Linked DNA regions of Oryzias latipes. The protein of the gene in region 1 interacts with the protein of each later gene in a pairwise test. Links are inferred from orthologs where the notes say so. Each region holds a gene or a part of one and is shown in the gene's direction. Other genes may lie near its edges. The genes, in order: siah1, numb, prpf31, tmem43, rad51ap1, cathepsin K and inha.

Region 1 (4,156 bases):
GGGAATCTGCTGTGTCCAATTTTATCAGCAGTGTCTTTGTAACATAAGACAGGGCTCACTGCGTGAGAGCAACCTGTCCCAATAAATCCATATTTTAATTAAGACTCCTGATATTATCTGTTAAATGCAGCTTTCTTGTTGATTTTTGAAGTCATCTCTCTGATTCTTATACTGTGCAGAAATTGTCCAAATAATTCGGTTTGAGTTTCTTTTGTCATCTTGGGGTTATTTTGGTTTTACCGCCTGAGTGGCTTCTTTAGGAAGGTCACACATGTAGGAAGACATGTGACCGAGCGACTTTACATGCATAAAGTGTCACGGAGAGAATCTGGTAGTTTTTCCCAAATGAAATGGCTTTCAAAATCACTAATGACTAAAATGGAAATTTGTTTTTTCTTTCTGTGTCTGGGTACCAAGTGACCCTTTGCCCAGAAGAGACCCCCAACCTAAGGAGTCAGGTTGTTCCTATGAGTGGTCTGGTCGAGGGAACAGCTGATGTTCTACAGAGTTCTCCGGTCCTGCTGGAACTTTATGAAAACTTGCTGTGTCGATGACATTTAGTCCCTTTTGTGCTTCTTTTTTTTTGTATATTAGCTTAAGAGCTGAATTTGTAAAAAGAGTTGGCACGTTCAAAAAGCTTTTTTAGATTAAGCTAATGCAGTCTTGTTAAAAGTATTACTTAAAATCAGAATTCAGGGTTTCTGCGTTGGCATAAAGGAAACTTTAATGTGCACTGAAGCCAAGATGTTAAGATGTAGCAGGAGAATTGTTTTCTCACAACACTGTCTGCTAGCCACTGGCAGGTTTGACTGCAGACCTCCCAAAAACTGCTGCCTGAACATCCAGACAGAGATTTTGAAAGCAGACACGCTCCGTCTTTGATGCAGCTGCAGACGTGTTTGATCTCTTATCAGATTTGTGAAAATAACTGAGTCTGAGGGGGCGAAAAAATCCTTCCGGCTTAGCATACGGTGGGCAAGGAATTCCACAGATTTGGTCCATGTGGAAATGAAGCACAAAGAAAAGCTTCTCCTCTTTGTCCTCTCGTGAGCAGATGTTGACTCTGGGATGTGCTGCATCTTCAGCATCGATGCTCCGAACGGTAAACGCTGAGCGAGCTTTTCACATACCTAGAGTGCTTCTCAAAAACAGGAAGAGCACTTTGAGAAGGTGAGACGCTGCTGTAGAGTGTGTAAGTAAGTTATGCTGAAGAGCAAATGTGAGCCAGAGAACGCAGCCCTGTGTTCTCTGGCTCACATTTAAAACGTGGACAGAGGAGAAACGGGCTGCACTAAAGGAGAAAGGAGGTATGAAGTCAGAGGGGTCAGCTGGTGCTGCAGCTTACAGCTATACCAGCTGAAATCTGAGACTTGCACAACCACAGTGAGGCGGAGGGAGGGGGCAGAGGGAGGAAGAATGTCCAGCCTGGAGAAAGAAGGCAAACTGCAGGCTTTCAGAGGACACGAGGCTGCAGGAGCAGCAGGGAGATGCAGCTGGAGCTGAGCTGAGACATGTGAGGGCTGAGCCTGCAGAGACAAAGATAAAGACTCGCGCTGGATGCGGACTTTAGCTCTGTGTTTCAGACAAACACAGCCAGTGGCGCTGACACCGACCACGCTCCCCAGGACAAAGAACATCACTGAAATCCAAACCGAGAAGAAAGTGAAGGGGGAGACTTCACACTGGATTTTTTTCTTCTTCTTTCATTTCCTCTCGGGGAGCCAAGGTTAGGTTTCTGAGCTGGGGCTCTCTTGTTTTGAGGATTTTTCTTTTGCAAACTTGCACTTTTTTTTGACTCCTCTTTCTATACCTGCTAACCAACCGCCCCGTGGAATGTCAAATAGTTCCTGAGTGGAGAAACTGGATAATTACCCAGTGTTGGTGAAGCTCTAATGACTCTCCTAAACTGCCTCCCGTTTCCTGTGCAGACTGGCGAGTTGATTAACCCTTTAGCCTGCCTGGCTGCTGTCCGGGCTCCTTCTGTTGCTTCTGCAGTGGAGTCGCTCAAACACCCTGGACTCTGACGTTTTCCCGCTGTTAAGGATCTGCTGGTGTTTGTTTGGACACAACCCTCGTTCTGGATCTGCTGCAGAACTCCAGCCGCTCAGAAGCTTGTACTTTCCAAGGGGAGAGGGGTGGGGGCGGGGGCGGGGGTGGCAGGAGGGGAAATATGATCCAGTATTTGGAGGAATGCGTAGAGCTCCAGCAGCAGTGTGTGGTTTCCATGGAAAAGGCCTGAGCAGCGTGGCACAGAGGGGCTGCATACATGCTTTACCTCTATGTCTGTGGTCCAAGTGAAATCCAAGCAGACAAGTGTAGCTCCACAAGCTCCACCCTGGAACTCCCTGTTCAGGCTGCTCTCATGCGTAGCAACCAGGAATGTGCACAACACTAAAGGTGAAGCGCGTCGATCCTCACCAGCTCCATGTTTCTGCCCAAGGTGGCTTGAATTGGCACTTTGTGTGCAGGGGGCCGTGTTGGCACACCGATGCTGTGCGTGACGTGGGCGAGCACAGAAGATGCTTTTAACCGTTTCCCTGCGTACATTATGTTGCACTGTTTTAACGTGGATTAACGTTTGTGTTGAATCCCCCTTCACCTGTCCTGATGTTCCTCTGTTTAGTTTTGTCATTCAGGATATTTAATTTCTTATCATAGAAGAGAAAAGGGAACGACGGGAATGTTTTCTTCACAAATAGCACTTTTGAACATTTATTAAAACTAATTTGCTTTTTAAATATTCATTTTGTGTGTTTATGTTTTGGTCCTTTAAGGGCCTATACCAGGCTCTTCTTAAGCCTTTTATAGTAAAAAATATATATATCCATGTATATGATGATATATTTTGGGACACAAAAGAACATTTCTTTTAAAATTAAATATTAGTTATTTTCCTGAGTTCTTTTCCAATCAGGAAGTAGGACGACTCCATCTCTGAGGCTCCGCCTCTCGCTCTGTGATGCACAAAAGATGTTCTTGTTTTCTGTCAAAAGATTCATCACATAGTTGAAGGATTCAATATATACAAAAAAATGTACAATTTGTATTTACTCAACATTGTATTTAGGTTTCTGCTTGGTTTCTTAAATAACATCAATTAAAAATAATAATAATTTCCAATCTTTTGAGAAAAATATCCAATCTCTTAATTAATGAAACTATTTCTAGATTATATTTCTTCAGCTTCTAAAAGGGAAATGGTTTTCTTTTGCGATGCGTTTAAAGATTGTTGAGCCTCCATGAGGTTCATGGAGGCAGAAGCTGTTGGTGAAACAGACTTTTTGGTCTGTTTGCAACCAAACCATTGGCAGAACAAAGACAGGAAGATGTTTATGGTTTATGGTTTCCTTCATCGTTGGTGTTCACCTTCACGCCCCGAACCATCGATGGTCTTATCCGTCTACCTGTTCCCACACCGTAGCCCTGTTTTCTGCCTATGTTTGTAGACGAGACGGTTTATGTGGAGATGAATTTTTAGTTTCAAAAAGCAGCTTCCTGTGTTTGCGAGTTCTGTTTCCACACAGAAGGAGACATTGTACGTCGTTTTAACAGAAACCTCAAATCAAATGTGATGCAATCGTGTCCAGGAATAATTTGCTTTGTGTAGATTTTGTTCAGCTGAAGACAAACGGGTTTCACTCGTCAACCTTTAGTCCAGAAATGGACCAGACTTACTGAAATATGAATGAGTGGCTCTGCAGCAAAGCGTCCACACAGCAGAAATCTAAAGTGAGCACGCTCTGTGTCCTGCCCATCAAACACCGCCTCGGCGCCATCCGGCCCTCACGTCTGCCGGAACATCACAACAATCCGAGCCCACTTCTGTGTCTGACTGGAGAACAAAGCAGAACGTTCAGAACCAGCCTGTCGGGTTCTCATGTGCACTTCCTTTGTTTTCTCTTTCAGAGGTCCAAACATTTCAGGAGCAGACAGAAGCCTTATTTGGAAATCTTATGGACGAAGGTCAGTCTGTCTTGTCTGTCAATCTGTCTGTCTGTCTGTGTCTGAGTGGATCTGTTGGGGATTTGCTTTACATTTACAGGATCGATGGCAGCTTTGTTGGTTTTCCCATGTCTGCTGTAGTTTTGTGTGTGTGGGCTCAGACCTTTCTGTCGGGCTGATCAGCCGTCCCGCTGCAGGGCCCGGCCCACGCCGT
Region 2 (3,985 bases), on another chromosome or scaffold:
CTGCGAATGCTCAGGAGCTTGTTGCTGATGTTGCTCATGTTGACCACAGGGGGGCAAAATACTTCAACATTTCACCAGGAATGCAGCCCCAGGACCTGCCAGGCCTGTTATGTGCATAAAAAGATAGAAGAGATGATTAAGAGGGTTGGCTTTCAAAGGCGTAGAGACAGTGTTAGAGGTCAGCAGTCAGAGACACAAGACAGAAGAGAAACCATCATCATAACCGGCTTTGCCGGCTGAAGCTCTGTGTGTTTGCCTTCTGATAGGAGAAAATATGCTGCTCTGCAGCTTTGTACCCATTGGAGCTATGTCAGGAATGCTGATAAACTTCTGGCCAGCTAAAGAGGCCAGTGTGTCGCTATGGGGGTAGAGGGGCGTAGGCCTGCGTGGGGCGGCTGAAGATGGTCAAATGATCAACATGATGATGGTTCAGACACGAGCTGTGCAGGAACTGTGGGAAGTTCTGCTCAAAGAAATAAATCATCGAATCAGTCAGACGCTGAAATAACGGCAGAGTGGAACATGTGTCAAATAGCTGTGCTTTCATAGTTTATGCAAAGCAAATGATTACCTTTATTTGGTCAGAGAGGGTGAAACAGGATGACACATTGTGCATTTTCCCGTTCATTGATCAAACTGGCAGAATCAAGAGTGGTGCCTTTATAGTGTTTTGTTAAACCTGAAAACCCATAAATGTTTATTTTTAATGGTTATATTTTGCATTGTTTTCACAAAAAATAGACATGATAATCAATCAGAGACAAACGAGAAAAGTAATTAATTTATAGAAGAAAATAAATACAAAAGAAACAAAAAATTTGCTAATTAAAATGAGAAAAACATTAAATCGTCTTTAGCTTTTTATGTTTTCTTTAATTTAATTAGATAAAATAAATGAATTTAAATGTTTTAACGTTCTTTTGTACTTTTTACATTTTTTATTTTGATTTTGCTAAACAGCTTACTAAAAAGTATTAATTTATTGCACAGATTAAAATTGTTCCTTCCTTTTTTAAATTAAAAGTTAAAATGTTTTAAAAATAATTTATTTACTCTAAAATCATCCTTATCTTTTTTTTGTCTTTGTGCTAAATTTCTTATTTGTCGGCAACCCCTCAGAATTTGGCCCAGTGGCCATCGATCACCGTGGACCCGCACGCGCCGGCCTATGAGCGCGCGCGGAGGCGGTCCGTTGCCAAGGGCGAGGTTTGGTTGAATCCTCGCGCTGCAGCCATTCAGCGGCGGCGGTTGGCCCGGAGGGTCTCGGTGACGGTTATTGTGGAATTTGAATTATCCGGAACGGGACGGCTCGACGGTCACAGTCGGGGCTTTAACGGGGCCACGTCTGGATCACGGAGGTGATCACAGGTGAGCGGGAAAGAAGGGTTAGCAAAAGGGGCTAAAGTAGCACTAGCCCGGCTGATGCAGTGGTGTTAGCCCGGTTCTGTGGCTCTTAGCTCGGTCTGTAATCTCTCTAATGACGCGGTGAGCGAGCAGGAGTGTTCAAACCGTCTCCGGTCTAATCTGTTACCGGGAAGAACCGAAGAAAACGGAGCCCTTTCGACGTTTTTCCTCGTCCTCTGATCACCTGGTTAACTTCCAGGTACCTGGTTTAACTTTCAGAGGTAAACGGGTGAGGTCAGAGCGCACGCGAACTGTCACGACACGTTGTTACACACGGCCCACTCGTGTAATATCACTGTCACAAGTGCGCACGCGGGTGTGGAAGTGCGAAGAAGTTCGGATGTTGGCTGTGTCACGGCTCACGTCGAAGCCTCCGCGAGCTCCGAGCTCGCGCTCTCCGAGAACGAGCCGTGACTCATCGTCCGAACGCGCAGCTTTTTTTTCCAGGTGTGATAATGGGGCCCGAGATGAGGTAATGGTATCTCCGTGAGACCGTCCGGCTGCCGGGAGTACCCCCCCCCCCCCCACTGCATCCACATCGGTACTCAGATTACTTTCCACAGGAAAAGAGGCGCGTGATTGACGGCGCGAGCCTCATGACGGACATTGGGAAGCGGGAGTCTGTCGTCGTCCCGCGAGGTCACAACTTTGTTTATGTGACGGGGGGGTCACGGTAAACAGTGATCGGGGGGGGGGGGGGGGTATGCGGAAACACTGCTGCTTTGTTTGGGATTTAAGGGGAAAGTTAAGGAGAATTGTTAACGTTACCGGGAAGAAGGTAAAGTCTAGAGTTTACAGTTCTAATATTTGACCGCATCATGCTGCTTATTTATGGCACAGTCTGTCACGTGCCGAAGTTCATGCTTTTATTATATGATCATTTATTAATTTACTTAGCATCTGGTGTTTAAATCTTGCTTTTCACGAAATAATAATTTTAATACACTTCATTTTCACACTTTTAAACTGCTAGAACAGCCATAAAGTTCCCTTATTTGTTTAGCAAAATTCAGAAATTTGCCTACTTATTTTTTTATTGCTTCTTGATTAGTAAGAAAATGTCAGTTTTATATGTTTCTCCATAAATAGGATTTTGTAAAATGCCATGAAGGATCTCATTCATCCAGCTGATGTCTTAAAGTTCAGCTGGGACGTTTGGTTCGGATGACTCAACTCTTTTTTCTTAAACTTTTTATTTGTTGTCTGACTTTAGATTAAATAAATTGATGAAAAATATCAAATAGAATTGTAACAAATCCGAATTTCCTCTAATGGAATACTTTGGACGGTAAATTGATTTTTGCAGGACAGGATCTCCTTAGAAATTCAAAAGTACTGTAGTTATTTGGATTTCCAAATGTAAAAGGCTTCGTTTGTAAAGGGTTTGTTTCTTCGGGTGCTTGGAGCTGCCCTATTTTAGGTGTATGTTTGGGTTTGAACTGGTCTTTAGAAGAAATGACAGATGCAGACAGAAAGTGCTGCTGTGTGTTGTAAAACAGAAGACATTTTATTGCAGATGATGATGATAACTGAGAGACCAAAATGATCCACATTTTCTAAGCTCACATCCTGCTGCTCATAATGAGCATGAAGGAAATTGAATGAGTTGTTGTTTTCTTTGTCTGATAAAATGACCCTACAACAACAGGAGGCACATCATTACTAAACATTTACAAGCATTAATGCCGAGTCGCTGGCCTGAGTGAATCTCATCAGAGTGAAATCTGCTGCATTTCAAAATGTCAAAGCTTTATTTAAAAACACAAGGTCACAGTGAGGAGGTCCTCTGAAGAGGCAGGTTCACATTCGGAATCAATTCAGCTCCAGTGTTTCTAATAGGCTGAAAAATGGGGGCGGGGCTTCTCTTTCCACAAGGTTGTTAAAGTAACCCATGGTCATCCCCAAGAATTAGGGGAGGGGCATTGGCAGTTTCTCACTGAAGCGCCCCCCCTGTGAATATGTCAGCAGCAGGAGGAGAAGCCCAGAAGGCCCAGTCCTCCTCTGTGGGGTGCGGTTTAGTGGGAGACATGATGTTCTCATGTAGGCACAGAGACAAATGGGATGAGGGATGGTGGGGCCAGAGGGATGGACTGTCCCCGTTTCTCCAGCATCCTCTGAGTTAGCGCCAGAGGTGGAGGTGAAGCTCTTTGATCTCTTCTCCACAACCTTTTCTCTACACATGCTTCAAGTTGCGGTTCATGGGTTCCAAAACCCCTTATCACCTTTGCATGGGGGGGTCATTTTTGTCCAATTTTTCTTGTGATGGAGGACATGTATAGAAGAAGTTAAGATTACAAGATTGGATTTCTGAATATTTCTTTATTCAAATCGTCATGGATCAGGAGCAGATAAAAACCTGCTGTTTTTTTTCAAACAGCAGGTTTTTATCTGCTGTTTGCAGCCTACCACAGCAGCAGCTGTGGTAGGCGGGGCCAAAGTCTCCCAGCTCCGCCCCCTTCTGATTCATCCACCTGCAGACAAATACATCCATGAACCTCTTTGGCTACGTTCACACCGCAGGCTGAAACGACCCAATTCTGATTTTTTTGCCCCTATGCGACCTGTATCTGATCTTTTCATG
Region 3 (4,070 bases), on another chromosome or scaffold:
GTCTTGTAATGTTTCCTTATTTTCATGTTTATATTATTAGCAGTCTTGTCATTCTTTATCTTGTTTAATGACCGTTTATGTAGCTTAGCATGACAGAACAGTTGCTCATCAGTAAATAAGACCATTTGCTTGTGTATTTGTTAATTTATTTCATTTTCTACTAATAGCCATCAATCATGCAGCTGAGGTCCAACTAGTCCATTTGTTTAGTCTGTTTAAATGTTGGTTTAAAATTGTATTGTTTAAAAACTGGGTTTCAAAGGGGAGGATGTACAATAAAAACTACAAAATGTGAGCCTCTTATCCAATACGGGTCATGTCCCAGTCATTGTTCATTCGTTCAAATACCTCACCAATTTGTTGCAAGGGCAGGGTCCTTTCTGAGTCCCTATATTGTGTCAATTAGAAGTAATATTTAAATATGTTCTACTGAAAGCAGAAGTCAGTTACAGAATAAAATGTATAAAATAGAACAGTTAATAAATATAAGTCTAATAAAGTGGGAAACCACAATTGGTCAAAGCATAAACGTCCATTGATAAAGAATTTGTGGCCCATTGTTTTGTGAATGAAATTTTGATTGTAAAGGTAATTGTCTTATTTCTATAAAGTTTTTGTGTGCTATGGTGAAGTATCATAATTTATTAAAATTGTTGTAAAAAAAAAAAAAAAAAAAAGTTAACCAAACTCTAGTTTCCTGAATGCAAGACTGGTACTTTGCTGCCATGTATGTATTATATTTTGTGTGTAAATATTTTAAAACGCAATTTAAATATAAAATGTAAAGTTTTTAAGTTCTTACTTTGTCCCATCACTTTTGAATACGTTTTTTTTAACAGTTTGTCACAGAAACTTACTAGTCATTTATTTAGTTATTTGTTGTTGTTTTTTTAACTTCTCTTCCTATTATGTACAGGTAGCTTTTAAGGGTCTAATAAATAATATAAAATAAATTAAGAATAGAAAAATATTTTTAAAACAATATTTTAAGAACTACAAATAAAAGAAGAGTTATAGTAAAGTCATTTTCGGAATACTAGAAAAAAACCTGTGTTTTTATTTTGTGGCCTGAAATGTAACTCCTTATTCGAATAAATATGTATTTAGTTGCGACCTACTACACATTTTTTAAGAGAAGGTAATTAAAGCAACCAAGTAAACTCATAAAGACCGAACATTCATTTTTAGAAAGAAGCCCGTATGTTATTTTCTCATCTCTTAAGGAAAGGGGATACTTACCCATAATCCCATGCGGAAATCGTGACGTATTTATTCTGCGACAAACCACCCGGATCGTGAGCTTTATGTTGTAAACAGGAGCAAGAAGCCGCACAAGTAGCATTACCTATATTGGCTTCTATTAGAACCCTTCCTGTCTAAAGTGACTTTTAAAAAAATATAAATATATTTTTGTTTTGTTTTACTTCATTTTGAAAGTGCGACGTAAGTTACTATTTTTCAGTGTTGAATGACGTTTGGTGAACGTTTGCTAACTTTAGCTAGCTAACACAGAATAGCAGACTGATATCAGTTTTTGTTTTTTTCAACGGGATGTTTATAAAAAATAACACTGATAGACTTTCGTTAGATCTACTTCCTTTTGAAAATAATTGCAATAAACACAAATTTAACAACTGCCCACACTTTTACTCTCGTTTAAGCTGAAAGATGCATTGTTAGAAGATGGATCATGAATTTTACTCTGATTGCAGATGTCATTGGCTGACGAGCTTCTGGCTGACCTGGAGGAAGCTGGAGATGAGGGGGAAGATGGGCTGTACCCAGAGGGGGAGGAAGGAGGGAGTGATGGAGAGGGGGCTTCAGGGAGGACAGAAAGACTGGAAGATATCCCCGAAGAGATGGAGGTGGACTACAGTAAAACTGACAGCATTACGTCTATCGCCAAGCTCCGCAATAGCAAACAGGTCTTTGTTTAGCTGACTCTCATAAAGAGTTCCTTTTTTTCACTACCTGAAGGCAGTCCCTTTTAACTGCTTGTTTTCAGTTTTCAGATATAATTGAAAAAATATCTGGATATATTGGAAAACAGCGCAAGAATTCAGATGGTGAGTGTTGAAAAAATGTGCATTTTAACAGAAAATGTTACTGATTTACTTCCATTTCTTTTTCTCCTGTTTACCTGTATTTTCTTTCAGTTTCAGGACCAGTTGAGGCTGACCCAGAATACAGGCTGATTGTTGCAGCCAACAATCTTACAGTTGAAATTGACAATGAGCTTAGTGAGTTGGACTTTTATTGTGCGACAAAACCTAATGAAGAAATTGGATTCTTTCAACTGAAAGTGTGAGGTCTGTGTTTCTCCTGTCTTTTCAGACATCATTCACAAGTTTACAAGGGACAAATACTCCAAGAGATTTCCAGAGCTTGAGTCTTTGGTTCCAGATTCTTTAGATTACATTCGCACAGTCAAGGTTTGTTGATCTTAAAAGATAAGTTTGGAGACGTTGAAGTTACCGGATATCAAATTTTTGATTTTGTTTTTCTTCTATTAAAAGAAAAGATTTGCTGAATGGTTTCCATTATTCTGCATAGGTTTGTTTTTTTCTTTTTGCATCTAACCTCTAAATCTTCCCCCTTTTTTTGTTGTAAATGTGTGCTTCGTATAAAGGAATTGGGAAACAACCTGGAGAAATGTAAAAACAATGAAACCCTGCAGCAAATTCTAACCAATGCCACCATTATGGTCGTCAGTGTCACTGCATCAACTACACAGGGGTAAGTTTAAGAATGTTGGTACTTGTGTCCTATTACAATAAACTTTTTTTTTTAACATTTCCATTATTATGTCTGTTGTTTATTTTATTTACATAGACACTCCCTTTATATATTTTATTGTTTTCCTCTTAAGGTCATTGCTAACGGAAGATGAGCTGAAGCAGCTTGAGGAGGCTTGTGACATGGCTCTGGAGCTCAACCAGTCAAAACACAGGATATATGAATATGTAGAGTCCAGAATGTCCTTTATAGCTCCAAACCTGTCAATCATTGTGGGAGCATCGACTGCAGCAAAGATCATGGGTGAGGAAGTGAAACTATCTAGAAAATATCAAGTTTTTTTATGCCCATACATTTTTTTTTCTTACTTTTGAATTTTTTTCCCTGTTTGGCTGAAGGCATTGCTGGAGGCCTAACAAACCTCTCAAAGATGCCAGCCTGCAACTTGATGCTGCTGGGAGCCCAAAGGAAAACTCTGTCAGGCTTCAGTAGCACATCGCTGCTTCCTCACACGGGCTACATCTACCACTGTGATGTTGTGCAGTCATTGCCTCCTGTCAGTACACCATATTCAAGAATAACAAGTACCTTTTCCACATCTAATGTTTGTTTGCCTTAGTTATCTCCTTTCCCCTTTTGTTCTCCCCCCTCAGGACCTTAGGAGGAAGGCAGCTCGTCTGGTGGCCGCGAAATGCACTCTGGCTTCTCGAGTAGACAGTTTCCACGAGAGTCCAGATGGAAAGGTAAACATCTCAAATTAAAGGAACATTCAGAAATATAATTTCTGTCTCTGTTATTCAACTCCCTTTGTAATGCAGGTTGGCTATGACCTAAAAGAAGAAATAGAGAGAAAGTTTGATAAATGGCAGGAACCTCCACCAGTGAAGCAGGTCAAACCACTGCCAGCCCCGCTGGACGGACAGAGAAAGAAGAGAGGAGGAAGGAGGTCAGTCACTTATGGTTATTAGTATTTGATAGAATTGCCTGTAAATTCATCAAAACCTCTGTTTGTATTATAAATATAGTCAATGGCTTCAAAACTATTTAAGGAATTTTATAATTCTCAAAAACTGCTCTTTTGCCAGAGTTCTTTTAAAAATATGCTGCAATGTAATTGTTGTTTTAAACATCTTTGATATAGAAATACTTTTGTCTAACAAAGAACTAACTAAATGGAGAAATACAATTATTTGGACAGCCCTACTCAGTTCATTTTTGTCCAATTAGTTTACTTTGAAGTATTTTGTAATATCTTAAACTGCAGTACAATCAATTAATCTGCATAATTGTGACAAATGTTGAATTTATCACAGATGTAATGTTTTAGTGAAAGA
Region 4 (4,214 bases), on another chromosome or scaffold:
GAGCTGAAACATGCCATTTGGAGAAGACACCCGTCAAACCTGAGACAACTGGAGCAGTTTGCTCATGAGGAGTGGGCCAGAATACCTGTGGACAGGTGCAGAAGGCTCATTGACAAATACAGAAACTGTTTCATTGCAGTGATTGCCTCAAAAGGTTGTTCAACAAAATATTAAGTTATGGGTACCATCATCTATGTCCAGCCCTATTTCATTAGTTTTCTTTTTTTTAATAATTCTGTTAATCAACAACTCAAGTAATGGCTGATTTTGATTATTTGATTTTTAATACATTTTAATTTGTTACTTTTGAACGTTTCAAGTCATTTCAGTGAGCATTAGGGACTTTCTTTCTCTAACTGAGGGCTACCAACAATTTTGTCCACCACTGTATGTCCTTGATCATGAGAAAAATGCCACATGAACATGTTAAAAACACCAAAAACAGTTTTCACTGGCATGGCTCTTTAAATATTTAATTAAAAATGACAACATTTTATTAACTAAAGGAACTGGATCAAAACCACAAACCTAATCTTTATTCAAGGGTTAATAAAGCCCAGAGTGGCTCCAAAACCTCAGGTTGCAGAGTCCTGAGTTAAGGATTTGTCTTTAGTTAACGCTTTTCATTTCACATGTCCGTCTTCAGTGGTAGATGAATGAATGGACATTTAGTTTTCCATGATATATATTGACACTGTGACACCAAGTGTTGTTCATGACCTGCTTCCTCTGAAAAACAGGTTCTATAAAGGCACAAAGAGAGTACCATTTTGTTTGATGAAAAGCCCAAATCTTTAAAGCATGTAAACAATTTCTAAGCAGTCAAGTAACTTTCTGATCACACACCAGCAAGCAATCAGACCTTAGAAAAGACAAAGGAGGTGATGCTCCCTCCTTTCAACTTTAATAATACTAATAATAATACTAATAATAATAATACTAATAATAATATTTATCATAATTATGGAAGGACTGGTTTAGCTAAATATATTTATTTACAAAGCTCCACCTCTCCAGGTGAAACGAAGGAGAGGTTTCTAAAACAAAAGGTCAAGTTCACTGAAATCCGACCAGACAATCCCGCAACATTCGAGGGACAAAGTGAAATCCTAAATTTTGAGCCAACCTTGAACGCATCTTCACACAGGTGTTTTAAGCTTCTTATGAGCTGCTATAATAGGATGGAAACATTAACGACAGAAGAAACGTATTTATCAAATATCTTTTTAAGGCTTTTACATTTTACTGAAGTATTTTATGCTTTTAAAAAGCACAAGAAATCATGAGTTCGCTGTGCTGTCGTGCACTAAACGCCATTACCCATAACCCCTTGAGGGGTATGCTTGATATGTCGTCTTAATAGGTTTGCGAAGGCACGCCCAAACTTCCCACTGACAACCATCTTGCCCCCGCCCCCCCAAATGCATGTCGGGATACTCTGTAAGGTAAAGCTAACCTGCGCGTCCACAGTCTTTCAGTTTGCTAACATCAACTCAACTGTTGTTAAAAGAGTAAATCGAGCCGGAAAAATGTCTTCTGCACAGTTTGTAAGTGAATTTATTACATTTCTGGCGTGTTTTTTAAGCAAGTACCAATATTTAAACATGCTGTTCTGGACAGAAGAGTTTGTCTTTTGTGATTGAACCAGTTAGTCTGCTTTAATACTAGTTCTTCTTGCTGTAGTTATCACGGACATCACAGTTGATTAAGAATGAATGAACTGCGATTGGGGAGTATTATAGGAAGTTACCCCTAGCAAAAAGTAGTCTAGTCTATGTTTAAGTTAAACAGAGGCAGTATACTTGAAGGCTGCTTTTCAGATACTATAGTAAACTTAAAATGTTTCAATTTGGTCTTTAGATAGAAGTATTCAATTAGCATACTTCCTACACTGGTACACATACGTGGTCTAGTATATTTGCCAAGCCTATACTCAAGTAAAAGTAATAAATACACTTGTAATGTAGTACTTTTTGCTAAGGATAGACTTTTTGTAGTTCTTGTTTATTCATGTTGTAGATTATGCATTGGTACATTCCCTCATTTAGAATGTACGGTGGCTCAGAAGGGTCACAGCACAACACTTTCACAACACAAAATAACACTACAATTCGTCACAACACTAAAAAAAATTAACTCACAACACCAAATAATAACTCACAACACTTTAACTCACTGAATTAAAGTGTTGTGAATTGTTGTTTTGTGTTGTGAGTGATTTTTTTTTTTAATGTTGTGACAAATTATAGTGTGTTATTTGGGTGTGCGAAATCTAAAGTGTTGTGACCCTTCTGGGCCACTGTAAGAATGCATTTACACTTATTACTGTGAAATCAGTGTCTTCCTCCAGCATTTGTGTACATCCAGGTGTTGTTGTGTTAGCATCCAGGTAAAGTGCCAGATCAACACAGGCGGGTCACTGTCAAACACAACCCTGGATTCCTGGAGAAACTGGGCGACACTGCAGGAGGAACAGTCCTCGGTATTGGACTGTTTTTTCTCTCGATCTATGTTCTTTTCACCAACGAGGTAAGGAGCACGGCTCTGTCAGTCATCAGATGAAGCCGCCACGGGTCTGGATCGTCACCTGTCGGGTTTCTCCGTCTGTTTCTTCAGGGTCGGGCTCTGCAGACCGCATCCTCCCTGGATGAAGGTTTCTCTCAGGTGGTGTCTCTGGGGCCTCACCCCGACCTAGAACTGCAGAACAATCAGCGTTTAGTTCACCTGTCTGCAAAGCTCCACACCTTTCAGGTAGAACCCAATGAGCGCTGCTGCTGTGCAGAAGTTACCTTTGTTCTGGATCGTTGATGTTGATTTTGAAAATTCTTAATCCAGTGTCATTGACAAATGATGAAATATCTCTTTATTTCTATGCTTCTGTCCTAAACTACTGTAATAGCATTTGAATAATAACCTTTTTTTAATACAAAGGGGATTTAAGGTAAAAAAAGGTGGGACTTTAATGACAAAATTCAGAGTTTTTACCAATGACTATAGAAGAACTGGGCTGAGTGAGTGTGACATCAGCCAGAAAAAATGACTTTCTTCCTGCTCCAACAAAATGAAGTCAATTCTTTAGAACTACGGATGTGACCACGTTGGAGCCAGAGATGGTCAGTAAGCAGTGATTGGGCCAAGTCGGTCTCAGTCAACGCTTGTCAAGCTGTCCGCTCAGTGATGAGCTTGTTGGAAAGCCACTTCTATCACTGAAAGCGTGCTTAGGAGAATCTGTCAATCAAAATTTGTGAAGGTTCGACATGCGACATCCTGTTGTGCTCCACATACTTTCATCGAAGCATCTGATTGGCCAGTTTAGAACTTGCAGTAAAGAAAAAATATCATGAAAAAAATAAGTTCTCCCTGCTCTCAACAACAGGCGGGGGAAAGGGGGGCGGGGTTGCTCTGCGCCAACCGTCCTGCCTGCAACTGAGAGGCAAATTTCTGATAAACTCCTGCCGCTATGCAGAAACTGTCCTGAAGAATGAAAGTTTTTTTTTTTGATTGTCTGTAAAAACGGCACAATCATAATGAAAAGAGCGCTGGGACTTACAGTGTTAATGTGCATCTCTGTGTGTGCAGGCTCTTCATGACCCCAACTACAAGGTGGTGGTGCAGGCGGTGAAGCTGAAGAGGGAGGTGGAGATGTATCAGTGGGTGGAGTACAGGGAGAGCAGGTCAGTGTTGCAGGACCAAGTTCAAGAATGTAGGGATCTGCCAACATGTCAGAGTTTTTCAAATGAACTTTCAGAGACTATCAGGAGAACGGAGAATCCAAAACAGAGACCACTTACACCTACAGTGAGTGGCTCCCCCCTTATTTCTCCTCTTTGGCTGCGATTGGCTTTGGCCCCGGAAAGATGTGCTTCTCTTTGTTTTGCTCCAGACACTGAGTGGAAGTCGGAGCTGATCAACAGCAGGAATTTTGATCAAGAAATAGGTCACCAAAACCCCAGGTATGCCATGATGAAGACCAGACCTCCACGTGTGTGTGATGTAACTTGACATGTCCCTTTCATGGAAGTGCCATGGCGGTTGAGAGTGTGACAGTGGTGGCTCCTGCAGTCCAGGCTGGACCTTTCACTTTGTCTAAAGGTTGTTGTTGTTTTTGAGCCAACAATCCAACCTGTGGTGCAGACGCTGCACTCAGATGTAATTCTTTCTCCATGGCTCAACCTCAGGTTTGGTGGACCAAATCAACAAGTTCCAGACTCTGA
Region 5 (4,295 bases), on another chromosome or scaffold:
TGTAGGCAGAGCTGGAGGAGTTTAGGAATGTGCAACCACAGGACCTTTTGGCCCCACGGCTGCATGTCTTCCTTCCCTCTCTGGGCCTAAAAACATGGCCTTTCACAGCCCTGAGCATCTGCTCCAGGGCCACTGTGTGACAAACCACAGCGGACAACCACCCACTCACAAGCTGGAAAATGACAACCCTCGATACAGTGGCTGCTCTCTCGAAGAACCACAGTCAAATCTGGGGAGGTTTCGTTTTGACCTCTCTTCAGAACTGTGATTGCTTCTTCCCATGTGTGTGGGCGACTGGGCAGTTGAGGACGTGTCAATTTAGTGTCAATCAGACCCAGGAACTGGAACATCAGAAGTCCTGAATCATCTAGTTTATACTGCCACCTGTTGGATGGTTGGATTCTTTACCCCTTGACAAACAGCTGTCCGTTTAGCACCAACAACAGTCTTTTTTATTATATGTAATCAAAGCTACCCAGAAAATATTCTCATCTATATTAAAAAATAAGATACAATAAACTTTTTTTACATCCTGCTGTGAAGAAATTAAATTGTTACAACTCTGGGGATCAGGCATAAGGGAGCAAAGAAAGGAAAATTTAAAATGTGCAAAAATATTTAAGGAAATAAAAAATATAAAAGAATTATACACCTCAAATACAATTAAATACAATTATAGTATACAACACACATTTCAATTGTATGCAACCATTTTAAAAATCAATATAACAAATAAAAATATTTTTTTTCCTATTCAAATACTGCAAATATACATCATTTTATTGTGTTTACAGGAATTACATTCCATTTAATGTTAGTTCATTATGACACACTTGTTTAGTAATTATGCTCATGATTTTAAAGCCTTAATTTTGTCACCTAATGTCACTAATTCTGTAAAATCCTCCCCAAATTTTTTTAAGTTGACTTAAAAGAATAATGCAATTTTCTTTTTCAATTTTATTGAAGAGTATACAACAGGAGAACAAATACACAATGTGAAATACATTAACAAGATCAAACAGTGAGGGGCTTTATTTAAATAAATACATATAAAGATTCACAAATACTGATTGTTTTAAATTTGAAAACAATCAATATTTTTGAATATTTGTAACCATTCCTGTTAGAAGAGTGTGATATTGATTTTATGTATAAAAATATATCGTTAAGAAATTGAGAAAATATGGTGCTTTATGGTGAAATTACATCTATAAATTATTAATTTTTTATATATGTATTATCTGTACTGCTGGCATAAATTAAGAAAACTAATCTACTTTCATAAACAGTAGATACGATACATTTTTCACTCAAAATAAAAACAATGTTGTGCATTTTTTTCTTTCTTTAATTTATTTACAATGGGTTTACTAAAAAAATTTAAATAAAACATTTTTACTAGTGGTATTTTATTAAAAACAACTAAACTAAAACGTAAAAAAAATAAACTCGAATCAACTTCCGCTTTTTTCATCAACTTCCGCTACCGTCAAATTAATCAACACAGCGTGACGTCACTTCTGGTCAGTTCAGGCGGGCTGCTTAAAACCAGAAGTCGCTTATTTTATTGTCGCTATACAAAACTAGTATACATTAATGTATCAACGTATGAGGAAGTGAAGTAAAGTTTTTTCCTCAGTACGTTAGGTGTTAGGCTTTTGATTTAAATCAGCTTTGCTGCAAAATTACCGGCTAGCTTAAGCTTCATGTGATCGAAGGGTAAAATAGCGGCTAAATCGCCGTTAATGTCCTTATTGATCGTTGGATAAACTAAGGGTATAATTTGTCAAAAATCCTATAAAGGGATGGACCGGCCGTCGAGGTGAGCAAGAAACATTTTCATTAGTTTATCGTTTTTTAATTACTTGTCAAATGTGAATAGAAAAGACGCTCTTAAGTTATTTCTCTACGTTTGCTTATTTGTTACAGAAAGACAAAGGTTGTGAATTATAGTGAAGCCAAGGATTTTGAGGATGGTGAGTTATTTGTGTTTTGTTCATCCAACTTTTATTTTCAAATTTTTTGTCTAATATCATATGTTCAATGATTCACAACAACAATTGTGTTGCTACTCTACGTCTTTCTCTTAATTTAAGTTTTAAGACTTAACTTCAAACTTAGCTTCTCTTCTGTGTGAAAACACCTTCCATGTTTGGTTTAGTTAGTCCAAACATTATAAAAACTAAAGATACATGTCTGCATTCGCTGATAACTATACTATAGTTATTCAAAAGATTCTGTATTTGGAAGAACTAGAGAACGATAGACATAAAGGACCCAGACGCTTAAAGCCTACTCCTTTATACCGATTCAACTTTAATTACCCAAAGTTGCATTTAGTTTTACAGCGTTTACCAGGTAACCCCTTTTGATTAGCCTGTTTCTTTGTTGTGTCAGATGAAGATTTTGCCTCCGTGAAGGCTCCACCTCACAAAAAAGCCAAGGAAGAAGTGAAACAACAACAGAGAAAGTCTTCAAGTCAGGAAGTTGTCTCTGAGTCGTCACAGAAAGAAAAGATCAGGTACACCGTTGGACATTTAGATGTTTTGGGGGATTTTATTGTCACTTATGGATCTTTGGATTATTGTGAGCCTCTCAAGTTATCTCCACCTCTTGAGTAAACATTAGTCCTAAAGACCCACTCAGATGAAAAAGGACTTTTTGGTGTTTTTTACATGTTCTTGTGGCATTTTTCTGATGATGGAGGACAAATATGAAGAAAAGTAAGCTTAAAATTTCATTTCTAAGTATTTCTTTATCTAAATTGTTGTGAATCAGGAGAAAATGATAAAATGCAGTTGTGTAAATATTTCATTTGTTGTGTAAAAAAATACGCTGGGAATTTTGGGATGAAAGTTATGGTATATCTGTGTATTACAATCTGTTTTTCAACTATGTCTGCAGCACAATGGCAAAATAAATAGCCCTCAGTGTTTTATTGTCTTGGATGTCTTTCAAGTCTACGATAAAGTCATGTTGACAATAATTTATTTTAATAAAAGATGACAATTGTATCACTTTTACCCATACAGGTCACATAGCTGAATATTCATCTATTAGTACTTTTTTTTTTTGCTTAATTTCCATATAGTTTAAACAACAAAAAAATGTGTTTTTTTGCTGCCCTTTTCTGACTTTGAGCCCCTGGCCCTCTATGATCCCGTACCTATCCCTGAGCAGCAACAAAATGGTTTGGCACCTGAGAAGTTAAAAATTATTTTAACTAATTTAGTTTTTAACCAATTAACACTTAATATTCTCAGAAAACCACTGGATGAAAAACTTTATGACAGAGACCTTGAGGCAGCCATCACACTGTCCTTGCTCAACAACACAGATGGGCTGAAGGAGTCATCTCCTAAAGGTTTGTTTTGTCTTGAAAAATGCTGAGTTGATTTGTTTTTCTCTGAGAGTGGTAACAAATTCTTTCTGGAAAAAAAAAAATTTCTCCAGCAGATGGAAAGATTCAAATCCCCATGGATGAAAATACGGATCCGACTACTTTGCGCTTTTCTAACTGCAGTGTGGATGGAGCAGTTTTGGGTAAGTATTGTTCTCCCCTCCCAAATCCCCGATCAATATGTTTTTCTTCGTCTAATCGACATTTTCTTTCAGTTTACTCATTTTTTTGTGTTTTTATTGTCGTTTGTGGGTCCCAGGCTTAGACGCAATCTCGTCAGAGATCAGATCATCCGCCTCAAAGAAGACTTCTTCTAAAACAGCTGAAGTGAAAAAATGCAAAGATGACGATGACGACTATCAACCCAAACTTACACCCGGTTAGCACTTTTTTCTTCCAAAGCTCCATAAAAAACTGTTCTCTTGGTTTTCATAAGTGTAACAGCTCTTTGCTTTTCCAGATCCAGAAAGTGATGAAGATTTCAGTGAGCCATCTGAGAGTGAGGATGAAGAATTTACAGTCAAGAAACCCACAAAGACCCAAAAGAAGGACAAAGTCTCCCCAAAAGACAGAATCAAACCAGCTCCCACTTCTAAAAAAGTCAAACAACCGTCAAAGACGAAGCCTGAAGCAGCAGGTTTGTTTCAACGGCTGACGTTTTCCATCCTCTTGATTTTTGTTACTAAGCCTTTTAAAACATTTTAGCTGCTTCCAAACCGGTGAAAAGTCCTCCAACGTCCAAACCGACACCCACCAGACCTCCTTCCACAAAGCCTGCATCCTCTCTGAGCCCAGCAGCGGGGAAAGTACCCAAGTGGAACCCACCAGGTACAGCTTATCAATGCACTTACTCTTTCTGTTATTTAAACTGCTGTAATCAGATTGAAGGCTA
Region 6 (3,500 bases), on another chromosome or scaffold:
CTATCTGGCAGCCCAGGGGAGCGTATTGAGATACTCAGAATTGAAGGTTTCTTGTGTCAGATGCAGAATATGGATTCAATTAAAGAAAAAGATCAGACCAGATCAGTGGGAAAGAGTTTGTGGAATGACTTTTTGAAATGTTCTTTTTTCTGATTACATCAATCAGAGCTGAACTGAAGGTTATTAAAAAAAAAACAAATGCTCACAGCTTTTTTAGAACAACAGTAACTCCAGGATAAAAGAGGCACACAGGAAATTATAGCAACCAACCAAACAAACAAAAATCTGAGTTCAGAACTGGTTGATCTACTTCTTTAGATTTTTCTCCATCTGTTCAATTTCCTCCAAGGTACAAAATAAAGCAGAACAAACACAAATAACCCTTAGTACGGCTCATTGTTTACCAGAAACACAGAGGAGTCGATTTCCATGCAAGCTCTGCTTAAAAATTCTTTGTAATCATCGTTTCATTGTGTGGAAACCCTGAGGGAAATTTGCAACTGCCCTATTTCTCTGATTTGAATGTTAACTCGTTTTGATGATGTTTAATGAAGCAGGTGTCAGAAATTTCCATCAAAGGATGCCTCCTTTCCTCTCTAACTGACCTTAAACGTCCTCTTTTTGGGTCTTCCTGATCCTAAAATGTTCTGTCTGCTGTGAAAAATGCTTCTCTTTAAGTTCTGAGCAAACTGAAGGGAGTTTGGTTTGCAAACTGCAGATTTCGCACAGGAGTGCTTGCTAAAGCATCCGCCAGATTTTTCTGCTACTAACCTCCAGCTAGAGGTCAGCGCTCCGCAGCTGTTTTTGTGTGTCAGACGTGCACGTGGCTACTTTTTTTTAAGACTTACTAAGCTCTTTGTAGCTTCATTTGCATCTTTGTTTCTATTCCCGCAGACAGGCATTGTTGTTGTTTTTTATTCAGGTTTTAACCAACGTTCCTACAACATCTTCTCATAATTTTCCCCTTTCAATGATCCATGACAGTAATAGAACCAAAATCGTCCTGCATCATTTGCATTTTCCATTGCTGGGAATATAATGAGTGAAATTAGGGTTATACTCCTAGTTAAAAGAGCCTAATCAGAGCCCTGAGTTTCCCCGAGTTAGCAACCCAGCCCTTTGGGTGCATCCTGTTCTCAAGCGAGACATGAATCTAAATTTGGGAGTGAGACATCAGTGAAGAAGTCTGGTGAATGGAGGAGAAATTATACTCTTATTTCGATATGAGCCTTCTGAAAAGATTGCTTTGCTTCCTTCAAATTGGCCTAATTAATTAAATTAGCTATTATACTGATAACAGTTTTATTTTTTCTAATTATAATGTATGAAGTTTATTCAGATGATTCCTGACAGATGTTCATGCACAGGATGTAAGTAATGTTATAGATCTTTGACTAAATAATAACAAATTATCGCGATGAAATAACTTTTTTGGAACTTAAACAAAGTTTATTTGGGTCAAAATCATAAAAGAGGGAGCTTAACCATATGTGGATCTGACCTATAAGTCCTGTGATCACTTACATTAATGTAGCAGGCAGGCATGTGGCAGTACAAAAAACACTTGTATATTTGGAAAATGTAGATTGGAGGAAAAACTGTTGGCAACATCTGTCAAAATCCAGTTGAGCAGCTTTAAATATGCAATGAGAGTTTTCAGTTTACAGGAAAAAAGGTTGCATTATTAATTAGCAGGACATGAATTATTAAATTATTACAGCAACAAAAAATCAATAATGAAATATAAGATTATCTTTTAAAGAGTGAAGGATAAGCTCCGGTTTGGTTTCAGAGGGGAAGATTTGACACCTTTTGTTTGCCTCAGGAGGAAGAGGGGATCCGCAGGGCCATTTGGGAGAAGAACCTGCGCATGATTGAAGCTCACAACCAGGAGGCGGCTCTGGGCATGCACACCTACACGCTGGGAATGAACCAGTTCGGAGACATGGTGACAATCCTCATCTCCTCTTTAGATAAAGTGGCTGACTGAGCCTCGGTTCATTTTTATCCAACTAACAAATGGAATCATGTGTGGCTGGTTACTTTCTTGAAGAAATGTTTTTTGGTCAAATCTTTAAAAAAAAGCCCCAGAAAAGCAGTTCCTGTACACGTGCACTGAGTTGCATTTCTGATGTTCAGCTTGTTTAAATCATCCGCCGCTGCACATGCGCTGGCTGTTTTAACATGAAGATCAAAACATGCTGCAAATGAAGCAGCGAGTCAAAACATGCAGCGCTTCATAATGAGAGTAAATGTACATCCACTTTCTGGTTAAAGGGTGGATTCATCTTTCTGGAAACAGGTTCTAAATTTAAATGACGAAAACATTTTTTTTTAAAGGAAGTCATTAGAATGTTGTTCCTTGTTGGTTTTCTATTTCAGACCCTCGCAGAAAAATGAATTTTCTGTTTGTTGCATTTACCTTTTTTTCACATTTTATTGTTTTTCACATAGCAAAAAAGTAAAACTTTTACCTAATTTTCGAAATGTTTTGTTTGATCTTTACTTATTTTTTTCAAACCAACTGCTTTGCCATAAATTTTAAAGGCATCATGGTTACGAGTGTAACTTGCCCCTCTGCTCACAGACCCAGGAAGAGGTGGTGGAGAGGATGACCGGTCTGCAGATGCCGTTGAACCCTGAGCCCAGAGTTCCCATGGAAACGGATGGCAGCCTAATCAAACTTCCCAAATCTGTCGACTACCGCAAGAAGGGCATGGTGACTTCTGTGAAGAACCAGGTCTGAGCACAAACCCAGACGTCCTTGTTTCTGTCTGCTCTGTTTTTTGTTTTGTTTTTAACGCTAGCACAGAAACCACCAGAGTTTGGATGCAGATTCTGGTTGGGAAAATGCTTCTTGTTAAAACAAGATGCTGTTGTGTCTGTCAGTTTGTGTCCGGGAAATTGAAAGTAGTAACAAGATGTTTGGAAGCTTAAAGAGACTAAATGTATTTCTTTATTTGATCAAGAAAATAAATCAGTTTTCATACAGAAGCTGCCCGTAACTGCTTGAACCAAAGCTTAAAAATGACACAACTGTCAAAGCAAATTGACAATAACAAATGTTGTTGTTTTTTACTATGTTTGGCTCAAAGTCTAAATCTAACCTAATGATTATTATGATCCAATGTGAGCAGACAACCCTGAAAGTTCTATTTTAAAGGATAGTTAAATAAAAGGTGGACCATAAAAGGGGAAACTTTTTGATCCTCATAAATGTACAACTTTAAACTCCCGTCAAGAAGTTTCTTCTATTTTAAATTTCATCTTATACAATGTTAACTTTCTCATGTTTCTTTCTATGACAGACAGAGTTCTCTAATAATTCTAGATCGATCTGCAACTACTTATTCAACCAAGAAGCTTAAAGTTACCCAAAGCTGTAAACAGGCTAACTTAGAAAATAAACAAAACAAATAGATTTTCAGCTCTATTAAGACAAATGAAAGTTGTTTTTAAAAATGTGAATACGTAACAGATTTTTACATCAGAAACATCGC
Region 7 (4,136 bases), on another chromosome or scaffold:
ATATATATATATATATATATATATATATATATATATATATATATATACATACATATATATATATAAATATATACTGTATATAGAAGAGTAAAAATCTTTAAAATAAACAAAAGGTTGTTTTTTCTCAGTGAGGTCTGGTTTACCCCCACAATTTCTAAATTCTTCACCCATGTAAACCTAAAAAAAATAAATAAACATTAAAGCCACGAACGGCATTGTATGAGCCGCAGGCGCCACCTGCCTGGCTGGATTGAAATGTGACTTTTTAGGTTAAACATCCTCAGGAAGTCATATTTTCCTTGTCTTGTTGCCTCTTGCGTGAGTGTAAACGTGGCAACTCCTTTAATATTTTATTGAAGTAGAGTTTGTATGAATTTATGAACCCATTCTTAATTGTTTGTGAGCCACCAATATTAAATGTTTTGACACATTTGGCAAGAATCCGTCTTTGAGTCAAACCTTTCAAAATGAAGTGCCAGAACTTTAGTGAACTACAAGATGAATGCATGAATATTGTGTTTGTGATGGGTTTACAGTGTAAGGACAGAGTGAATTCTGTTGTTTCTGCCACAGTCATGAGCATGTACAATACTTTTTTTTTAACATTATAATTGAAAAAAACAGTGATTGACCTGAGAATCAGCTTTTTCTGTTGCAGCCACAGTTTTATGAATCAAGTGAATCTTGTTTGGATTCTTTTTATTTTGATGCAAACATGAACATTCTTGATGTCAAGCTATTTTGTCTGTGCTTGAAGGGGACAGCATCCTCTGGAGACTTTGAAGGAGCCCACAGGAACCCTGTCACACACAGTTACATCCACAAATGACACAACCAGGCTGAAAGTCTGCTTTGTAATAACGTCGTTTATGAGGGGAAACCTCATTGCTGTCCCCCGTGTTACTGAGAAGAACACAAGAAGAGTGTTCTATCCATGTCTATAAAATAAATATTCTCTGTAGGACAAATATGTTTTTTGTGTGTATCTTATCTGCTGTTACCTGCTGTTGGATGAATGGTGAAATATTCATTTCTTGAAATACTAAATCTGTCTCCAGAGGAGTCAGTGCCTCACCAGCCATCAACCTCACCAGACGTCACTGCAAATAGGATATAGACAAAATTAAAATTTGGTCAAAAACCTCATTTGTCCAAAAGAGTTGCACTACAATGAGACAAAATATGACCCCCCAAAAAACTGCAGCAAACATTACTTTTAGTTACCTTAGGTGAGCAAAAGCATTTCTAACAAAATGGGAGGAAAAAAAATTGCCACAAAGCTGGAAATGCTACATCCCATCAGTCAAGGCCAGTCTTTGTTATCTGTATTCTGAACCTATAACAAAATGCTTTTGCTCACAGGCTACACACAAACCCAGATAGCTGCTGCTCAGTCTAAACATATACGAGAGTAGAATCTCGTCGCACAGGAGGGTCTTTTTTTCCATTCTTAAATTTAGGATAAACTGGTTCACAGTCATGGTGTTGTGTGTCGTCGTCATTCTGGGTCCTCTTTGGATCCACGGTGTGGTTCAAGCCTGCAGCGGAGAGGAGTTACCTAAAGAGGTGGTGGTGTCCTGCTTCAGGGAACGGGTTCTGGAGAGTCTGGGGCTGGAGAAACCCCCCCAGACAAAACCGCGAGGCCTTCGTGGAAGCGGGGCAAACAGTGGGGCAAACTGGGAGACCTGGCACATGATCACGAGGGGTCCTGGGTCGAAGCGAGGACTGTTGGATCAGAATCAGCCAGTTCCAGAGGAGGAGACATCTGAAATGATTTTGCTGCCAATTTCAGGTGAGAATCATCAGTTATCATCTTTATAAATTAGATTTGAGCATTTTCATAAAAAGAAACACTTAAAAAAATCCTAAAATAAAAAAATAAAAAGTAGTGATTTGGTAAAAAATGTAAATTATGTAGAAAAAAAATGAAGCAGATTCCTCCTGTTCCACAGCTGACTCAGTAACAAATGTTAAATTAGGAAAAATAATGAAAATATATTTTTTTTATGATTTTCAAAAGTTTTACCTGCTAAGCCTTACTTGGCCACTAGAGGTCAGGCAAGAATACAACCAGAGATGAAACACCCATTTCAAAGAAACAAAATCATGGTTTGGGTGTTTTTAACATGTTCTTGTGGCATTTTTCGGACTTACAGTATATTAGAACAATTATACTTAAAATTTGCTTTGCAAGTTTTTTATTTTTTTGTTTTCAAATTGTTGTGAAACAGGAGAAAAATGCAGTTTAAAAAAAAAGTGTATCTGTGATAGAAAATACTTTGGGCCACAAGCTCCCTGCTTGAGAGTGAGTAAACAGAGAGCTCTCAGCAACATTGAAGGGAAGGGGGGCCGGGGTTTCTCCGTGGAAACACTCCCGTCCACAAGTCAAACTACTGCCGCTCTGCAGAAACTATGTCCTAGGCTAGAAAACAACAGGGGTTTCTGGATTTAAAGGACTTCTTGGAACGCCTTTAAACTAGTTTAAAAAATTGTCAGAGCTGGTTCTTAGGGAAAAAGTCAACATGAGAGGACCTATCAGGGCTCCAGACTAACTTTTTTCACTAGGAGCACTGTGGCCCCTAACTGAAAATTTTAGGGGCACAACCAGCAAATTTAGGGGCGCATACCGTAAATCAACATGCTAACCAAATCTACTAATTTCCACTGTATTACTAATAAATACTTTAATAATAGATGCAGAAATTACAATGTGCTGTTTCAAATGCAGTGTCACATTTTATTCTGGACTTTTGAAGATGCAACAACAGACTGACAGCACCATCGCTGTCATGACAGTACAAATAGTAAAGAAAACAGATGGAAATTTATCTTGGTGACACCAAATAGGTGCAGCCAAGATGCACAATAAGCGTGTTTGAGATCACCCAGGTGAACTCAACGCTGCGCAGATCACCTGGTGTGTGACATATATTTTTGTTTTTGCTCCAACATCAACTGTCAATCATCACAAAAATATCGCGAGAAAGGGGTGAGAGCAAGGGGCAAACCTACCCGGACACAGCTGGAAACTGAAGTGATTGAAAGCTGCCCTACAGACTACAAAACAATGCATTATGGGACATGTGTCCTGATGGTTTTTGTAGTTGAGTGATTAATTAAAATAATTTAAAATACCAATTCATTAAAAAAAAGGCTACATACATTACACAACATTAAAATTATCATAAAATATATAATAACACAGATCATACTAAGGGGGAGAAGAATTTTAAAACTAAATTGAATGTTAAGGACAACTCCAACTTCCTGCTGTCCCTCAGTCTTGCTGCAGATTCGCCTTCATCTCACAGCCCCCCCGCCTGGTCTCCCCAACGATCCAGGCGAGCTGCCGGTTCATCTCAAACACGTCTATCGTTGCATTTTCCCCACGTATTTTCAGTGTGTCTAAAACTAATGTTTTTGCTCGAGCGTGTTTAAAGTTCAAGCCCCATTAGCTGTCACGCATGTAGGTGTGGGACATTTATTCTCCTCAGCTGACCCAACTCCCGCGGGAGCGGCGTGCTGCCGTAACAGCCGTGCATAAACCGTTTGATGCGCCGCCGTAACCGTGAACAAAACCCAAACCTTCCTCCGGGTCTGTGTGACCCAGAGAAAAGTTCAGCAAGGACTGCGTGTATGTAGAAAATTACGAGCGAATTAATACGTTCTAAAGGAAAGTAGGGAACTCCTTCATGTGGTCTGGGGAGGGAGGGGGCTGTCAGGTTTCCTGCTTTCAAGCCCTGTCATTGTCACGCCCCCAAGAGCCAAATACCCCACTGTGATTGGTAGGTCAGCTATGCGCACGGCAATAAAAAAGTGTCATTCATTAAAACTGGCGGGCAGCAGTAACATTAAACTTTCATATTAAGGCGGGGGCCGCTAAATATCATCTTGGAGACCGCAAATAGGTACACTGGTACACTAGCCGCAGGTCGGAAGAACAAATCAATAGTTCGCTTGCTCATAGCTCAGACGCACATATCAGGTTGTGATGATATTTGTCTCCGTTTCCTTCCCACAGATGTTTACGCGCGCTCGATTATCTCTAGGCCCCTCCCCCTCCACGCATTTTAGCCACTTACAGTGGCTTTCCCTATTCTTCTCACACGCAGTGGCCGCCTCACTGACGAGCATCA

What was found.
Region 2: the proteins of siah1 (region 1) and numb interact in a two-hybrid assay, tested with the Homo sapiens proteins (2 studies listed by BioGRID and IntAct). The link is inferred for Oryzias latipes from reciprocal best matches to the Homo sapiens genes SIAH1 and NUMB.
Region 3: the proteins of siah1 (region 1) and prpf31 interact in binary tests that used the Homo sapiens proteins (3 or more experiments, as listed by UniProt). The two-hybrid records come from large-scale screens. The link is inferred for Oryzias latipes from reciprocal best matches to the Homo sapiens genes SIAH1 and PRPF31.
Region 4: the proteins of siah1 (region 1) and tmem43 interact in binary tests that used the Homo sapiens proteins (3 or more experiments, as listed by UniProt). The two-hybrid records come from large-scale screens. The link is inferred for Oryzias latipes from reciprocal best matches to the Homo sapiens genes SIAH1 and TMEM43.
Region 5: the proteins of siah1 (region 1) and rad51ap1 interact in binary tests that used the Homo sapiens proteins (3 or more experiments, as listed by UniProt). The two-hybrid records come from large-scale screens. The link is inferred for Oryzias latipes from reciprocal best matches to the Homo sapiens genes SIAH1 and RAD51AP1.
Region 6: the proteins of siah1 (region 1) and cathepsin K interact in a two-hybrid assay, tested with the Homo sapiens proteins (2 studies listed by BioGRID). The link is inferred for Oryzias latipes from reciprocal best matches to the Homo sapiens genes SIAH1 and CTSK.
Region 7: the proteins of siah1 (region 1) and inha interact in binary tests that used the Homo sapiens proteins (3 or more experiments, as listed by UniProt). The two-hybrid records come from large-scale screens. The link is inferred for Oryzias latipes from reciprocal best matches to the Homo sapiens genes SIAH1 and INHA.

Annotation. Positions count from the first base shown.
Region 1 is NC_019864.2:25,286,456-25,290,611, reverse strand, and holds the start of siah1 (E3 ubiquitin-protein ligase SIAH1), read left to right. Parts: upstream 1-1,356; 5' UTR 1,357-2,279; coding exon 2,280-2,397; intron 2,398-3,906; coding exon 3,907-3,963; intron 3,964-4,156. UniProt on the Homo sapiens protein: E3 ubiquitin-protein ligase that mediates ubiquitination and subsequent proteasomal degradation of target proteins.
Region 2 is NC_019880.2:1,035,668-1,039,652, forward strand, and holds the start of numb (protein numb homolog), read left to right. Parts: upstream 1-1,185; 5' UTR 1,186-1,368; intron 1,369-1,753; exon of another isoform or gene 1,754-1,876; intron 1,877-3,985. UniProt on the Homo sapiens protein: Regulates clathrin-mediated receptor endocytosis. Plays a role in the process of neurogenesis.
Region 3 is NC_019874.2:19,364,284-19,368,353, reverse strand, and holds the start of prpf31 (U4/U6 small nuclear ribonucleoprotein Prp31), read left to right. Parts: upstream 1-1,270; 5' UTR 1,271-1,443; intron 1,444-1,712; coding exon 1,713-1,925; intron 1,926-2,005; coding exon 2,006-2,066; intron 2,067-2,156; coding exon 2,157-2,240; intron 2,241-2,334; coding exon 2,335-2,432; intron 2,433-2,629; coding exon 2,630-2,736; intron 2,737-2,869; coding exon 2,870-3,039; intron 3,040-3,134; coding exon 3,135-3,292; intron 3,293-3,389; coding exon 3,390-3,479; intron 3,480-3,554; coding exon 3,555-3,682; intron 3,683-4,070. UniProt on the Homo sapiens protein: Involved in pre-mRNA splicing as component of the spliceosome. Required for the assembly of the U4/U5/U6 tri-snRNP complex, one of the building blocks of the spliceosome.
Region 4 is NC_019863.2:1,702,881-1,707,094, reverse strand, and holds the start of tmem43 (transmembrane protein 43), read left to right. Parts: upstream 1-1,414; 5' UTR 1,415-1,421; coding exon 1,422-1,547; intron 1,548-2,382; coding exon 2,383-2,529; intron 2,530-2,616; coding exon 2,617-2,751; intron 2,752-3,579; coding exon 3,580-3,674; intron 3,675-3,748; coding exon 3,749-3,798; intron 3,799-3,883; coding exon 3,884-3,953; intron 3,954-4,021; coding exon 4,022-4,092; intron 4,093-4,178; coding exon 4,179-4,214. UniProt on the Homo sapiens protein: May have an important role in maintaining nuclear envelope structure by organizing protein complexes at the inner nuclear membrane. Required for retaining emerin at the inner nuclear membrane.
Region 5 is NC_019881.2:17,661,300-17,665,594, reverse strand, and holds the start of rad51ap1 (RAD51-associated protein 1), read left to right. Parts: upstream 1-1,495; 5' UTR 1,496-1,808; coding exon 1,809-1,825; intron 1,826-1,932; coding exon 1,933-1,979; intron 1,980-2,400; coding exon 2,401-2,524; intron 2,525-3,266; coding exon 3,267-3,367; intron 3,368-3,456; coding exon 3,457-3,546; intron 3,547-3,662; coding exon 3,663-3,782; intron 3,783-3,863; coding exon 3,864-4,040; intron 4,041-4,108; coding exon 4,109-4,231; intron 4,232-4,295. UniProt on the Homo sapiens protein: Structure-specific DNA-binding protein involved in DNA repair by promoting RAD51-mediated homologous recombination.
Region 6 is NC_019874.2:26,964,180-26,967,679, forward strand, and holds part of cathepsin K, read left to right. Parts: intron 1-1,825; coding exon 1,826-1,948; intron 1,949-2,587; coding exon 2,588-2,740; intron 2,741-3,500. UniProt on the Homo sapiens protein: Thiol protease involved in osteoclastic bone resorption and may participate partially in the disorder of bone remodeling. Displays potent endoprotease activity against fibrinogen at acid pH. May play an important role in extracellular matrix degradation.
Region 7 is NC_019860.2:13,921,345-13,925,480, forward strand, and holds the start of inha (inhibin alpha chain), read left to right. Parts: upstream 1-1,336; 5' UTR 1,337-1,479; coding exon 1,480-1,792; intron 1,793-4,136. UniProt on the Homo sapiens protein: Inhibins and activins inhibit and activate, respectively, the secretion of follitropin by the pituitary gland.